2 linked regions of the Stegostoma tigrinum genome follow. The protein of the gene in region 2 interacts with the protein of the main gene of each other region in a biochemical or structural test. Links are inferred from orthologs where the notes say so. Each region holds a gene or a part of one and is shown on either strand. Other genes may lie near its edges.

What was found. The genes of interacting proteins can lie anywhere in the genome.
Region 1: the proteins of sntg1 (region 2) and plekha1b form a complex in vitro, tested with the Homo sapiens proteins (2 studies listed by BioGRID and IntAct, with this or other methods). The link is inferred for Stegostoma tigrinum from reciprocal best matches to the Homo sapiens genes SNTG1 and PLEKHA1.

The regions. Positions count from the first base shown.
Region 1 is NC_081373.1:27,987,347-27,995,184, reverse strand, and holds the start of plekha1b (pleckstrin homology domain-containing family A member 1), read right to left. Parts: upstream 3,005-7,838; 5' UTR 2,843-3,004; intron 1-2,842. UniProt on the Homo sapiens protein: Binds specifically to phosphatidylinositol 3,4-diphosphate (PtdIns3,4P2), but not to other phosphoinositides. May recruit other proteins to the plasma membrane.
Region 2 is NC_081358.1:71,008,448-71,015,968, forward strand, and holds the start of sntg1 (gamma-1-syntrophin), read right to left. Parts: upstream 3,008-7,521; 5' UTR 2,927-3,007; intron 1-2,926. UniProt on the Homo sapiens protein: Adapter protein that binds to and probably organizes the subcellular localization of a variety of proteins. May link various receptors to the actin cytoskeleton and the dystrophin glycoprotein complex.

The sequences.
Region 1 (7,838 bases), on a different chromosome or scaffold from region 2:
TCTATCATACCCTAACCTCCCTTGCCCTCAAGTGTTCCTCTTGTTGCACTTGCTTCTCCCCACCCTTTTCTACAATATAAAAGTCACTTTTTCACTTCTCTCTCCAGTTTCAAAGAACTGAACTTTTATACTTGAAACATCAACACTTTTCTCTCTCCACAGATGCTGTCATACCAGAACGTCTGCAGCATTTGGTTTTCATTTTGTATTTCCAACATGTGCAGCATTTTAGCATTGTATGTAAAGCTGTGTCCAGTTCTAGACACCATATCTTAGGAAGGATATGTTGGCTTTGGACAAAGTGTACAGATTTACTAAAATAATACTTGAACTCCAAAGATACAATTATGACATATACAACTAGAGTTGTATTCTCTGGAAATTAATATAAGGTGTAATTTGATCAAATGTTTCAAGACAGAGTCTAAAACTTAGATCCAGGTCATTAGCTACACAAAAAAAATAACAAAGGGGTGGAATTTTACAGCAAATGGCAGCTGATGCATAAATTGTTAGGTTTAAAATGAAGATTGATAGATTTTGTTACACTTTTAGTTAGGTAGTAAATCAACAATCCCACTGAGAAGGAAAAGACTCAAGGAGTTAAATCATTCACTCCTTGAATATATCCCCTTGTCATCACTTCCTCTGACAGTTAGCTCCATACACACACCACCTTTTTGCATGAAAAGTTGCCTCTTAGATCCCTTTTAAAACCTTCCCCTCTCAATCATAGCTTTATGTGGAAGGAATTTTTAGAGCCTTTGATAAAGATGAGAAGTTAATGGGCAAGTGTGAGACTATTTGTGATTGCAGGGAAGGTGCCACGGATGGATTAGGGTGGAAGTAGGAGTGAACTATGGTGTCACAGAACGAACATTCACTTTGAATATTTGGTTGTGGTGTCATGCTGGACATAGCAGAAATAGTAAAGGTTGATCCCTTAAATATGGAGACATCTCAAGTTGTTTTCAGGGTATACAGCACCAGTTAAGAACTCAGTTTGACAGAGATCTAACATCAGAAACATGAATTCTTCCATTCTTTTCATAAACACCAGTCCCAATGTAGATAGTACAACGTGTTTCCAATACTGCACTTCATGTATTATCAAGCTCTTTCAGAAAAATTACATTCACGTTATCAGACCTGGTACAGATAAAACTCATTAAAGCCATTACATATAAGGGGAAAACAAGAATAGACCACTCAGCCCTTCTAGCCTCCTCTGCCATTCAATAAAATCATAGCCGATCTGATTTTAACCTCAACTCTACATTCCTGCATATCCATGGCAATTTTTCATCCCCTTAGTTACGAATAACCTACTTACCTCTGCCTTAAATATTAGAGATTCAGTTTCCACTACCTTCTGAGGAAAGGAATTTCAAAGACTCAACCCCCAGGCTTAAAAAAAAATTCCTCATCTCAGTTTTAAATGGGCACCTCATTTTTAAACCTTCATATATAACGCTACAGGACAAGAACAGTCCTTCAAGCCAAGATAATAAAATGTGAGGCTGGATGAACACAGCAGGCCCAGCAGCATCTCAGGAGCACAAAAGCTGATGTTTTGGGCCTAGACCCTTCATCAGAGAGGGGGATGGGGTGAGGGTTCTGGAATAAATAGGGAGAGAGGGGGAGGCGGACCGAAGATGGAGAGAAAAGATGATAGGTGGAGAGAGTATAGGTGGGGAGGTAGGGAGGGGATAGGTCAGTCCAGGGAAGACGGACAGGTCAAGGAGGTGGGATGAGGTTAGTAGGTAGATGGGGGTGTGGTTTGGGGTGGGAGGAAGGGATGGGTGAGAGGAAGAACAGGTTAGGGAGGCAGAGACAGGTTGGACTGGTTTTGGGATGCAGTGGGTGGAGGGGAAGAGCTGGGCTGGTTGTGTGGTGCAGTGGGGGGAGGGGACTTGTCTGCACCAACCATGGCAACATTCCAAACTAATCCCATTCACTTGCATATGGTCCATACCCCGTTATTCCCTGCCTGTACCTGTGTCTGTCTGAATGCCTCAAACATTGCTATCATATATGCTTCTACCGCCTGCCCTTGTTCCAGATTTTCCCACAAGAACCTTCATTTCTTCATCCACCCAGTTAAGTCCCCTCAGAATCTTAGATATTTAAATTGTCACTTTTGACTCTTCTAAACTTCCAGAGAATACAGGCCAAGCTTGTCTCGTCTTCCGTTAAAACAAAAAATCCATTCATTCCAAGCATGAGTCTAGTAAATCTTCTCTGATTTGCTTCCAACACATTAACGCCTTTCAAGAAGTAGAGTGGCCTGTATTCTATACAGTACCACAGACGTGGTCTCACCAATGCCCTGGATAACTGAAACAATCTCCCAATTTTCATTCAATTCCCCTCATAACAAAACGTAACATTCAAGTTTCCTAATTTGTTGTTTCATACTAACCTCCTGCAATTCGTGCACTAAGACACTCAGATCTCGGCACCCTCTGCCCATATAGACAATCTCGTGCTGTCAAAAATGGGCAACCTCACACTTTCTCGCATCGTATCTCATTCATCTCACTTCGATTACAACAAACTTGGACACGCATAGTTGTTGGCTTCAAATCTGAACCTCCCAATCGGACGCAAAATTGCTCACGTCCGATTATCCATTTCGTAAAGGTGACAGCAATATTCAACGAGGTCACGAATAACCGATAAACCATGAGGCAGAAGTTTACAGTTTAAAGAAGAAACAAAAGCACGGCGATAAACCGTCTGTCCCTCTTCTCCCTAACAATATGCATACATACAACATTCAATACAGGCACAGCGTCCTTGGACTGCATACGGGGTTAGGCTGAGATTATTAGTATCTCACTCTGTGGTTTCGGTCCTGTCGAGGCTGTGTGAGGGGGGCAGTTGTGCAGTATAATATTCCGCGGTAGGGAGCCGGCTTTTAGCAGCCCATAGCCAGCCAGCCAGCCAGCCGCCCGCCCACTCGGGAAAGGCCGACTCTGCGTCGCTCTGCTCCCTCTTCCTCCCCCATCAAAGCTCCGCAAAGCCCCGCTCACACCGGGGACACAATCGGCGACAAGGCAGACTCACTGGATCGGCTGTCACACTCACCCGCAAGCGGGAAAGAATAAGGAAAGCGACCCCGAGCTCCGCGACGCTCTCCGCCGAGCGAGCGCTACTCTACCGAACTATCCACTTCCGGGTCAAGGGGGTCATCCCGAACAACGAATCTGATGTCACAGGTCTGCTCGCAAAGGCCCTCTGGGCATTGTAGTTCCCTTTCCAGGGCCGTCTGCTCGAGAAACAAAGTGCTGCAGAAACTCAACAGATCTGGCAAGACATCTGTGCGGAGAGAGAGAGTTAATATCCTCGAATAATATCCTCTCTGGCACTGGTACCATCTATATGTGACTATCTGCGCTCTCAGGCAAGTGCTGGCAATCCAGAGATGCACTGCATGTTTTGTGGCATTTACAACTAGTTGCTCTCAATGGTGCACTTGTTGCGCAGTTTTCTTGGATTTCTCACCATGGCCCACAACGCACCAAGCCTTATAAGATTTTGCTCTGTGTCCCCACGCTGGAAATCTCGTTGTACTTGATGAGTACCCATGTGAGACCGAACATTACATAGTCCTGAAGTGGAATCTAATGAACCAGAGCATCATACTGGGGAAAATTAATGAAAGCTTGCATGGAAAATTACTAACAACTTTTTTTTAAAATTCCCATAAATGTTATCTACCACCTTAATCATGAAAAATTAATCATTAATAAGTTAATGATTTGAGAAAAGTGAAATTTGTGAATCCATAAATTTAGAACTAAAGTGCCAAATGAGTGATTGAGAACACTTTTTTTTTAAAAATTGGCAATTCAATCGTTTTTGTTTGTTTTGTAAAAGACAAGTATTCACAAAATATGTATTCACGAAGAGGTACATTTACTAAAGTTAGCTTCTCATTCCAGAAAGAAAAGTCTGCAGTAACTCTATTCTTTGAATCTAATTAGATCTGCCATGCTTGCAGGCAGTTTTACCTGTAAGATTCTGTTGAGTATCTATTCAAAGTTTTGAAATTATTTGCAATGAAGAAATTCTTTATATCTCTGAATTCTCATGTTTGTTATTTTAGACCTTGGGACTATGTCTTTCTTCTATGTTTTCTCTGGAAGTAATCCCACTAATCCAACTGTTCCACCGTTTTTTAAACACCTTATCTATTCATCAAACTCTTCAATGGTAAATAGCCCAGATATCTAGTTTCCACTTGTGCTCAATCTTCTGATATCAGGAATTAGTTGGTTACTTTTCTCGACTCTGGTTTTAGATTTTTGTAGAGCCTCGGTGTCCAAACTTGATTTAGTACTTCAGGTGTGACTGTACTACTCTACAGTTCCAAAAGAATATATCCCAATATTCAGTATTATATCTACTTTATTTCTGCTGTCCAGTGTGTTGGCGTGCTGAATGGTGAAGACATTTACAATTACAGCATTTAAAAGACATCTGGGTGGCTATGTGAATAAGCAAAGCTTTAGCTGGATATGGGCCAAATGCTGCAAATGGGACTAGGTCAGATTGGGATGTCTGACTGGCATGGACAAATTGGGCTAAATGGTCTGTTTCCATGCTGTCTGACTCCATGACTCTGTAGGTGCACTATTAGCCCAGGATGTGATATGACTTCATGACAGATGATCCAAAATAGATGACAATGGCACATAAGCTATAATGGTGACTGTGACACTAAAATTAATTGTTGTAAAAAAATCTTTGGGTTAACTGATATAAGTGAGGTAAGGAAATTAGCCATTCTTCTCTCGTCTGGTCTGCTTAATACTCCAGATCCAGGGCAATGTGGTTGACTCTTAACTGCCCTCTGAAATGGCCTAGCAAGCCACTCAGTTTACCAGTTATTGGAGTTGGGCAGTAAATGTCAGCCTGTGATCTCACTGGAAGAATAAATTTACAAAAACAGGAGACAATATGTAGATGTGTGACACATCCACGGCACTCTCCTGATTTATTGGATTTGTGAGGCAGTTGCATTGAAAACTGTTGGGACCAAATTAAGCATCATTCCACAGTTTGCAATGAAAGCTTGTCACAAAAATGCTGTTGCTTACAGTGGAACATGACTGTGCCAACATCGCACCCAATCCTTGCCAAGAAGAAAGAAGGGACCTGAAGAAGAAGAATATTATTTTTAATGGATTTGTTTACTAATTCAAATTTTGCCTGTTTTGCACCACTCTCCAGTCCCAGATTACAAATTTGCATTGGAAAGTCTTTGGAATGCTTTCAAAAGTATTGTTTTGTCCTCTACTGTCTTGTTAATGAACAATTTCCTCAAGTAAATGTGTAATTCTTTCCTAAAACCCTTTGAAGTTTGCCTTGTCTAGTTTCTCACTTTAGTTTTATGCATTAAGTCAGATCTTATCTAAAGATTCATGCTTTATATATACATGAAGACAGCAGTGTCAATAAGAAGCGAAACCTCCACACAGCATCCTACAGTTGTAGTGTGCATGCATTCTAAAGCTGTACTTGGCGTAGCTATCCCTTCGATAATGATGAATGTCAGTTTATATGAAATTTAATTACATTGTAGTCACTGTTCTCCATATTGTTCAAACACCACCATTCTTCAAATTATATCATGTTTAGTGATATCAAATCCAGCTTGAGAACAGCTTCCAGTAGTTTTACTGATTAATTTTGAAAAAACCATGCATTAGATTTACCAAATTAGAGTGTTTGAGTATTGCAATTCATATTAATTAGATAGAATTCTCCATTTGTTTAACCTTCATGTTTTTACATAAGCTGTTTATGTCTTAGAATCATAAAATCATACAGTTTGGAAGATGCCCATCAATCCATTGAGTCTGCACTGACAAAAAAAACCCTGAATATACACTCATTCCATTGTCCAGCACTTGGCCCATAGCAATGAATGTTATGATATTTCAAGTGTTCATCTAAGTACTTTATATCTTTAGCCAAAGTATGCAACACCCCACTTTTGTTCTGATTTGGTGATCTGCACTAAATTCTGAATATCTTTTATGCTCTTTTTGTAATATAATCATTTAGCCACACTTTCCATAAGAAGCACTTTATAACCTCTCATTTGTACCTGACATATAGAGATTAAAATTGCTTTTAGATTCAATTGCATAATTAAACTTTGATTTGTAGATGCTGATTAGGTTCCTAAAGATCAAATATCTTAATCCAAGAAATGAGTATTATTTGACATGAACAAAATAATTTGAAACAACATAAATGGATGTATTCAATGCATTCAAATATAACTCCTATCTCTTAAAAAAGGGTTATCACATGTTTGGTAGCCATGACCTCCGACCTGAGGATTTAATACGTGATTAACACACATCTGTTGATTGCGAGGCAGGTAGTGCACAAGCTTTGTGAATACATCTTCAATGCCAATTCCTACCAAACACTCCACTCACTTCAGACAGTCAGTAATTCACCACACCCTAATTACTCATCAATCAACGATCTCTATCATCAGAATTCATACCATGCATTCATATGCTACTTTGCACTATCACACACAACACTTTTGCAAAACACACAGTATCTCACAGCTTGCACACATTGTGAACCATTCATCCATGTCAGCCACATCAACCAAACAGATTACACAACTCATTGACACAATCCACTCAATTGCAGACAAAAATAGAAATTTCTGGAAAAGCTCAGCAGGTTTGGCAGCATCAGTGGAGAGAAATCAGTGTTAACTTTTCAGATCGAGTGACTCTTCCTCAGAACTTTATTACACTATAGTGCAGGACAAGGTGACACACAACCAGAGACAATAGCTCAATCGTTTATGTACACTAGTTAGAAATCCCATGTGACAATGGAATGATGGAAACTAACAGAACCAAGAGTTCAAAACTGGCCATTGATAAAACATTTTGAGCCAACAGCAGAAGTTGAATTGTATTCTTAATAATCTGTTACCTCAAGGTTTAGCATATCCCTCACTACCATTACCGTCAAACTGGGTGACTGACTTTAGATCAATCATGAGTGCAGGAAAGCATGCCAGAAAGAACGCCAAACATGCCAAAAAGTAAGGTGCCAACCTGCTGAATGTTGGCACAGTCATGTTCCAATGTAAGCAACAGCATTTTTGTGACAAGCTTTCATTGCAAACTGTGGAATGATGCTTAATTTGGTCCCAACAGTTTTCAATGCAACTGGCTCACAAATCCAATAAATCAGGAGAGTGCCAGATTTAATGGTTGTGAAACAGGAAAAGCATATTCCATAGACCAAGACAAAAATGTATACCACTCAAGTGTCAGACAGGGACCAGCTCCAACAAAGAAATATCTAATCGCCACTCCCTACCATTCGACAGCATTTGATCATTGGAGCTCAGGGCCATAAAACCAGCAGGAGAGATTGGGCGACTGCAGGAGTTCAGGCCTATAAAAACCAGGAACTATAAAGAGTGAGAGACTGGAGGAGATTGTGACCATAAAAACCAGGGGGAGAAAGAGCAAGTGATCAGATGGATTCAGGTCTTTAAAACCAGGGTGTGAAACAGGAAGTGATTGGAAGGGTTCAGATTATAAAAGGAGGAGTGATCAGTGGGGTAGGGGGTGTGAAGGAAGAAGTGATCAGAGAGATTCAGGGTGTAAAAGAGGGAGTGATCAGAGAGGTTCATGGTGTGAAAGAAGGAATGAGCAGTTGGGTAGAAGGTGTAAAAGAACAAGTGATCAGAGGTGTTTGGGGTGTGAAAGAGCAAGTAATCAGTGTGGCTTAGGGTGTGAAAGAGGGGGTGATCAGAGAAGTTCCGTTGTGGGTGTGAAAGA
Region 2 (7,521 bases):
ATATAAGTGAACCTGATTCTTGATTGTCTTAGTCACTCCCAGCTCTCGCTGTACTATTTCAATAATAGCTAACATCCACCTTCACAATCAAACTCCATGACTGCCAAGTTAAGAAGACCTAAACTCTTCATTTCAAGTCACTATCTATCACACATTGTCTCTGTATCTGAGATAATGGGAACTGCAGATGCTGGAGAATCCAAGATAATAAAATGTGAGGCTGGATGAACACAGCAGGCTAAGCAACATCTCAGGAGCACAAAAGCTGACGTTTCGGGCCTAGACCCTTCATCAGAGAGGGGGATGGGGTGAGGGTTCTGGAATAAATAGGGAGAAAGGGGGAGGCGGACCAAAGATGGAGAGAAAAGAAGATAGGTGGAGAGAGTATAGGTGGGGAGGTAGGGAGGGGATAGGTCAGTCCAGGGAAGACGGACAGGTCAAGGAGGTGGGATGAGGTTAGTAGGTAGATGGGGGTGCGGTTGGGGTGGGAGGAAGGGATAGGTGAGAGGAAGAACAGGTTAGGGAGGCAGAGACAGGTTGGACTGGTTTTGGGATGCAGTGGATGGAGGGGAAGAGCTGGACTGGTTGTGTGGCGCAGTGGGGGGAGGGGACGAACTGGGCTGGTTTAGGCATACAGTTGAGGAAGGGGAGATTTTGAAACTGGTGACGTTCACATTGATACCATTAGGCTGCAGGGTTCCCCGGCCCACAGTGATCGAGAACGCCCTTGACCGCGTCTCCCGCATTTCCTGCAACACATCCCTCACACCCCGCCCCCACCACAACTGCCCAAAGAGGATCCCCCTCGTTCTCACACACCACCCCACCAACCTCCAGATACAACGCATCATCCTCCGACACTTCCGCCATCTACAAACCGACCCCACCACCCAAGACATTTTTCCATCCCCACCCCTGTCTGCTTTCCAGAGAGACCACTCTCTCCGTGACTCCCTTGTTCGCTCCACACTGCCCTCCAACCCCACCACACACGGCACCTTCCCCTGCAACCGCAGGAAATGCTACACTTGCCCCCACACCTCCCCCCTCACCCCCATCCCAGGCCCCAAGATGACATTCCACATTAAGCAGAGGTTCACCTGCACATCTGCCAATGTGGTATACTGCATCCACTGTACCCGGTGTGGCTTCCTCTACATTGGGGAAACCAAGCGGAGGCTTGGAGACCGCTTTGCAGAACACCTCCGCTCAGTTTGCAACAAACTACTGCATCTCCCAGTCGCAAACCATTTCCACTCCTCCTACCATTCTTTAGATGACATGTCCATCATGGGCCTCCTGCAGTGCCACAATGATGCCACCCGTAGGTTGCAGGAACAGCAACTCATATTCCGCCTGGGAACCCTGAAGCCTAATGGTATCAATGTGGACTTCACCAGTTTCAAAATCTCCCCTTCCCCAACTGCATCCCTAAACCAGCCCAGTTCGCCCCCTCCCCCCACTGAACCACACAACCAGCCCAGCTCTTCCCCCTCCACCCACTGCATCCCAAAACCAGTCCAACCTGTCTCTGCCTCACTAACCTGTTCTTCCTTTCACCCATCCCTTCCTCCCACCCCAAGCCGCACCCCCATCTACCTACTAACCTCATCCCACCTCCTTGACCTGTCCGTCTTCCCTGGACTGACCTATCCCCTCCCTACCTCCCCACCTATACTCTCTCCACCTATCTTCTTTTCTCTCCATCTTTGGTCCGCCTCCCCCTCTCTCCCTATTTATTCCAGAACCCTCACCCCGTCCCCCTCTCTGAAGGGTCTAGGCCCGAAACGTCAGCTTTTGTGCTCCTGAGATGCTGCTCGGCCTGCTGTGTTCATCCAGCCTCACATTTTATTATCTTGTCTCTGTATCTATTCCTTTTATCCATTACTTCCATGCCAAAAACAGACACATAATGAACATTAATAGTTCTAACAATGTGACTATTTGGAAAGCTGTCTTCGTTTTCATCCACCAACTTCCCAGTCGTACACTTACTCCTCTTCCAATTCTTCGTCATGCTGTAGTTTGTAGTTTCTCTTCCAGCTGTTCTTCAACACTCACAGACTCAACTAATCAGATATCCACTTCCGCAACTCTTGACTTTCTCCTCATCCAAGTTCTTGATTATGTTTCTTTGCCATAATGTTCAACAACATTGTCAACTATTTGCTTTGTCTTTTTTTTTCAAAGCCATTGTCATCACTGTCCTCTCCAAAATCTAATCCATTTTCAGTTAGAATTTATCCACCAATATTTTCTTTCCCCTGTAATTCTTTGAACATGCCATTGTCACCCAGGTCTATGGAATGTTGTCTCATTTGTGTGCCTCAGTGTCTTCATCTTTCAATATGCTGACAAAGCCTGTTCAGATTCAAATCAGTAGTCACATGTGATCATGACTTAGTATCACTCTGACCTATCTTGATGTGAGACATGGTGTACTATGCTGTTCTCCTCAAATGTTATTTCTCCTAATATTACTTTACAGAATCACTAACTTTACACAGCAACGTCAATATATCACAGTGAAGACTACTCAATTCATGCCCACACATTAATCATGAACAAGGGGCTGCCTTTCTCTCCTTGTGTATATGCTGGGTCTCAACAACATTATCAATGAACAGCAGTTAGCTTAAATAAGTCCATTGACAATACCCAAGGCAACTTCTTATTACCACCTTCAACTCCACATTGACAAACTGGTTTCTTGCTATAGTTCATGGATGAACAGTAAATTCTTCAGCTAGTGTAAGATTAAAATGAATCCCATTTTATTTGGGTCGCAGCAAAAATACTGATTATTACCTCTAAAACTGCCTTCTTACTCTTAATTCAATGATATAAAATATTCCATTCAATCCTTAGCTGAGCTGTAAGATTCATCTCCAAAATTGCTCAGTTCAGGATCCACAATATCACCTACTTGAGATCACCGCTGCATTAAAGTCCGTGCTTATTTACAAACCCAACTTTTTCTTGTCTTCACACCATCCACTTGAACCTACAGGAGTCAAAGCGCAAGCAGTGAAAAAAAATCCTGAATTCTGCTCTACACTAAGTCTCATTTGTCTATTATTTACATCCTGACAAAGAAGAAGGTGCTGGGGAAGCTGAAAGGTCTCTAAGTGGGTGAGTTAATTGGACCAGATGGGACGACACCACAGAGTTTCGGAAGAGATAGCTGAGGAGATTGTGGAGGCAATGGTGGTGATCTCTCAGGAATCAATGGAGTCAGAGAAGGTCACGAGGACTAAAATAGTTAATATAAGACTCCTATTTCAGAAGGGAGGAAGACAGATGACAGAAATTTAAAGGCCAGTTAGCCTGATCTCAGTTGTTAGTAAGATTAAGGATGAGACTGTAGAGTACTTGGAAATGCATGGTAAAATACAGTTGAGTAGGCAGAGCTTCATCAAGGGGAGGACATGCCCAACAAATCTATCAGAATTCTTTGAGAAGCAAGTTTTTTTTAAAGGACAGCCAGTGCACATGATTGATTTGGGTTTCCAGAAGGCCTATGGTAAGATGCTGTACAAGAGGCTGCTAAATAAGATCAGGGTGCATAGTGTTAGTGGCAAGGCATTGGCATGGATAGAGGACTGGCTGATTGGCAAAAGGCAGAAAATGGGGATGAAGGGGTCTTTTCTCAGGATGACAGCCAGTGACTAGTGGAGTTCTGCAAGGATCCGTGTTGAGTACACAACTATTCATGTTATGTATTAACAATTTGGATGAAGGAACTGAGAACGCTGTTGCTAATTTTATAGACAAGACTAAGACGGGTGGAGGCACAATAGAGATAATGGGAACTGCAGATGCTGGAGAATTCCAAGATAATAAAATGTGAGGCTGGATGAACACAGCAGGCCAAGCAGCATCTCAGGAGCACAAAAGCTGCCGTTTCGGGCCTAGACCCTTCATCAGAGAGGGGGATGGGGAGAGGGAACTGGAATAAATAGGGAGAGAGGGAGAGGCGGACCGAAGATGGAGAGTAAAGAAGATAGGTGGAGAGAGTATAGGTGGGGAGGTAGGGAGGGGATAGGTCAGTCCAGGGAAGACGGACAGGTCAAGGAGGTGGGATGAGGTTAGTAGGTAGATGGGGGTGCGGCTTGTGGTGGGAGGGAGGGATGGGTGAGAGGAAGGACCGGTTAGGGAGGCAGAGACAGGTTGGACTGGTTTTGGGATGCAGTGGGTGGGGGGGAAGAGCTGGGCTGGTTGTGTGGTTCAGTGGGGGGAGGGGGCGAACTGGGCTGGTTTAGGGATGCAGTTGGGGAAGGGGATATTTTGAAACTGGTGAAGTCCACATTGATACCATTAGGCTGCAGGGTTCCCAGGCGGAATATGAGTTGCTGTTCCTGCAACCTTCGGGTGGCATCATTGTGGCAGTGCAGGAGGCCCATGATGGACATGTCATCTAAAGAATGGGAGGGAGAGTGGAAATGGTTTGCGACTGGGAGATGCAGTTGTTTGTTGCGAACTGAGCGGAGGTGTTCTGCAAAGCGGTCTCCAAGCCTCCGCTTGGTTTCCCCAATGTACAGGAAGCCACACCGGGTACAGTGGATGCAGTATACCACATTGGCAGATGTGCAGGTGAACCTCTGCTTAATGTGGAATGTCATCTTGGGGCCTGGGATGGGGGTGAGGGAGGAGGTGTGGGGGCAAGTGTAGCATTTCCTGCGGTTGCAGGGGAAGGTGCCGTGTGTGGTGGGGTTGGAGGGCAGTGTGGAGTGAACAAGGGAGTCACGGAGAGAGTGGTCTCTCCGGAAAGCAGACAGGGGTGGGGATGGAAAAACTGACCTATCCCCTCCCTACCTCCCCACCTATACTCTCTCCACCTATCTTCTTTACTCTCCATCTTCGGTCCGCCTCCCCCTCTCTCCCTATTTATTCCAGTTCCCTCTCCCATCCCCCAACGGGTGGAGGGACAGGTAGTTTTGAGGAAGGGGGGAGGCTGCTGAAGGACTTGGACATGCCAGAAGAGTTGGCATAGAAGTGGCAGATGGAATACAATATGGGAAAGTGTGTAGGAAGAATGAGGCATAGGATATGTTCTAAATAGGGAAAGTCTTAGGAAATATGAAGCACAAAGGGACTTGGTAGTCCTAGTTTAGGATTTTCTTAAAGTTTACATACGGGTTTAGTTAACAGTCAGGAAGACAAATGCAATGTTAGCATTCAGTGCAGGAGGACCAGAATATTAGAATAGGGATGAACTGCTGAGCCTGTATAAGGCTTTAGTCAGGCTGTTTTTGGAATATTGTGAGAAATTTTGAATCCTGTATCTATGGAAGCACATGCTGACACTGGAGGGGTCCAGAGGAAGTATACAAGTATTATCTTGTTGATGAGGGTCTTGTCATATTGAGGACCCTCAATGGCATTGAAAAAGCTGAGGAGGTATCTTTTATTGAAGCTTACAGAATACTAAGAGGTCTGGGCAGAGTGGATGTCAGAAAGATGCTTCCACAAGTAGGAAAGGACCCAAAACCACAGCCTTGGAGTGAAGGGATAATACTTCAGCTAGATGTTGCTGAATCTGTGGAATTCATTGCTGCAAAAGGCTATGGAGGCCAATTAATTGAATACATTTAAGACAGAGATAGATAGGTTCTTGATTAGTAGGGGGATCAAGGGTTACAGGGAGAAGGCAGGAGAATGGGGTTGAGAAACATATCAGCCTTGAATCGAATGGTGGGGAAAACTTGAGGGGGCCAAATGGCTTAATTTTGCACCAATATCTTATGGTCGAATTATCTTATGGTTTTCTGCCTTAACTTCTCATTAGAATCCATATCCTCAGTTTTAAATTCCTGTACAGCCTCATTCCACCTTCTCTCTTAAACCTCTCTAGCTTTAATTGTCTGCGATGCTGTGATTCTGATCTACATACACCACCATCCAACTCCTTGCTATCAGTGTGAAATCCTTCAATTAACTCAGTTCTACTCTTTGCATCCCATGTCCAAGCACTCAAGATTTTTTGTGTGTTGAAAGCTCTCTTGTGTGTTTTGTTCTACAATTACTTTGCACCACTTTGAAGTTTTAATGGTTTAAACATAACATGTTGTGAAGCACACAGTGAAATGTTGCATCACTGTTTGTTTAAATTTCTCAAAATTTGACTCGGAATGAAAATGCAGGTAATGAAAAGGTTAGGGAGGGCAGTCAAGTGTACAGTGCTCCCCATGAAACTATCATTATCCTGTGTCTTGTTAGTCACGTTTTAAATGAACTGCACTAAGCTGAAGTATAAGATTGGTTTGTCATTGAATTAGTGCTTTGTAATTTATTTCCTGCAGATAATTGCAAATGAAATGCATTTAATGACGGTTAATTTGTGACTAAACCGCAGTTTATCACAGTAGGCAAAAAAAGTCACAAGTCACCCTCTGTTTTATGTACATTAATGTTTAAAGCAAATATTTTTATGATTACAATTACAATTTTAATCAAATCTTATAAGAGTGCATATGTTTTAATTATATTTTTATCAAATAACATGCTCATAACATTACAATTGCATTTTTCTCTGACAAAAATGTCTCCATTACGGGTAAGGATTATTGTGATTTACACTAAGTTATTTTACAGATTTAAAATCATGCATAATTTCAACTATTTCATTTCCCATTAAGAATACTTCTGTCGATTTGTACTTCTAAAACAGTATTGAATGTGTTGTCAAGATTTATTGAGAGTTCAAATGGAGACTAAAATGTTTGGGTTCGAGACTGCTGTCGACTTTTCTATGATAATAAATCCTTGAAAACCTAAACAATGATCAGAACATAAGCCTCCCATTCGAAATTTTACTTTTAGTTTACAGTTTTCGACTATTACAACACTTAACTCCTTTCAATTTATTATTATATAATTTTATTATTTAGCCATTGTAGGTAAATGTTCCATGCTGGTATTGCAGTTTTGTGAAACAATTACTTACAAATCTGAAATCATCACATAAAGCTAAATAGTCCTCTGATCAGGATACAACAAAGTATACTGGCTTCTATTCTGATCCTGATGCACAAATGAAGCATCTGAAGAGAAGCATCTAAACAAGAGGTTTGTTCCTGGTGTCAGTAAATGAGGGCTTATTTAGTTTTTTTTTAGAAAAGGGAAGTATTTCCTTCATCAACATTAGTGCAAATCTGGAGGCTATCACCTACCAGGTAGAATACAAAAGATTAACCCTGAGAACTACTTTAAAGTGAATGAAGCATCCAGTATATGTGACATAAGTTAAAAGAAATCTATTAATCAATACCAAGGCAACTATCATCATGCAAAACATGAGTACCACTTATTAGGCTGGTGGGGAAAAAATGTGGCATTTTGGACACATTAAATCCGTGGGATTTCAGTTGGGACTTATTTCAAAAAGCTTCCATCACCTGACATTCCACCTTCAATGTCTCTGACCAGTCAAAAACTTTTAATGTGCCAATTCCAGTATTTTTAACTCAGAATGTTTAAGTGTACAAAAATACTGATATGATTTTAATGAGTAACTGAATG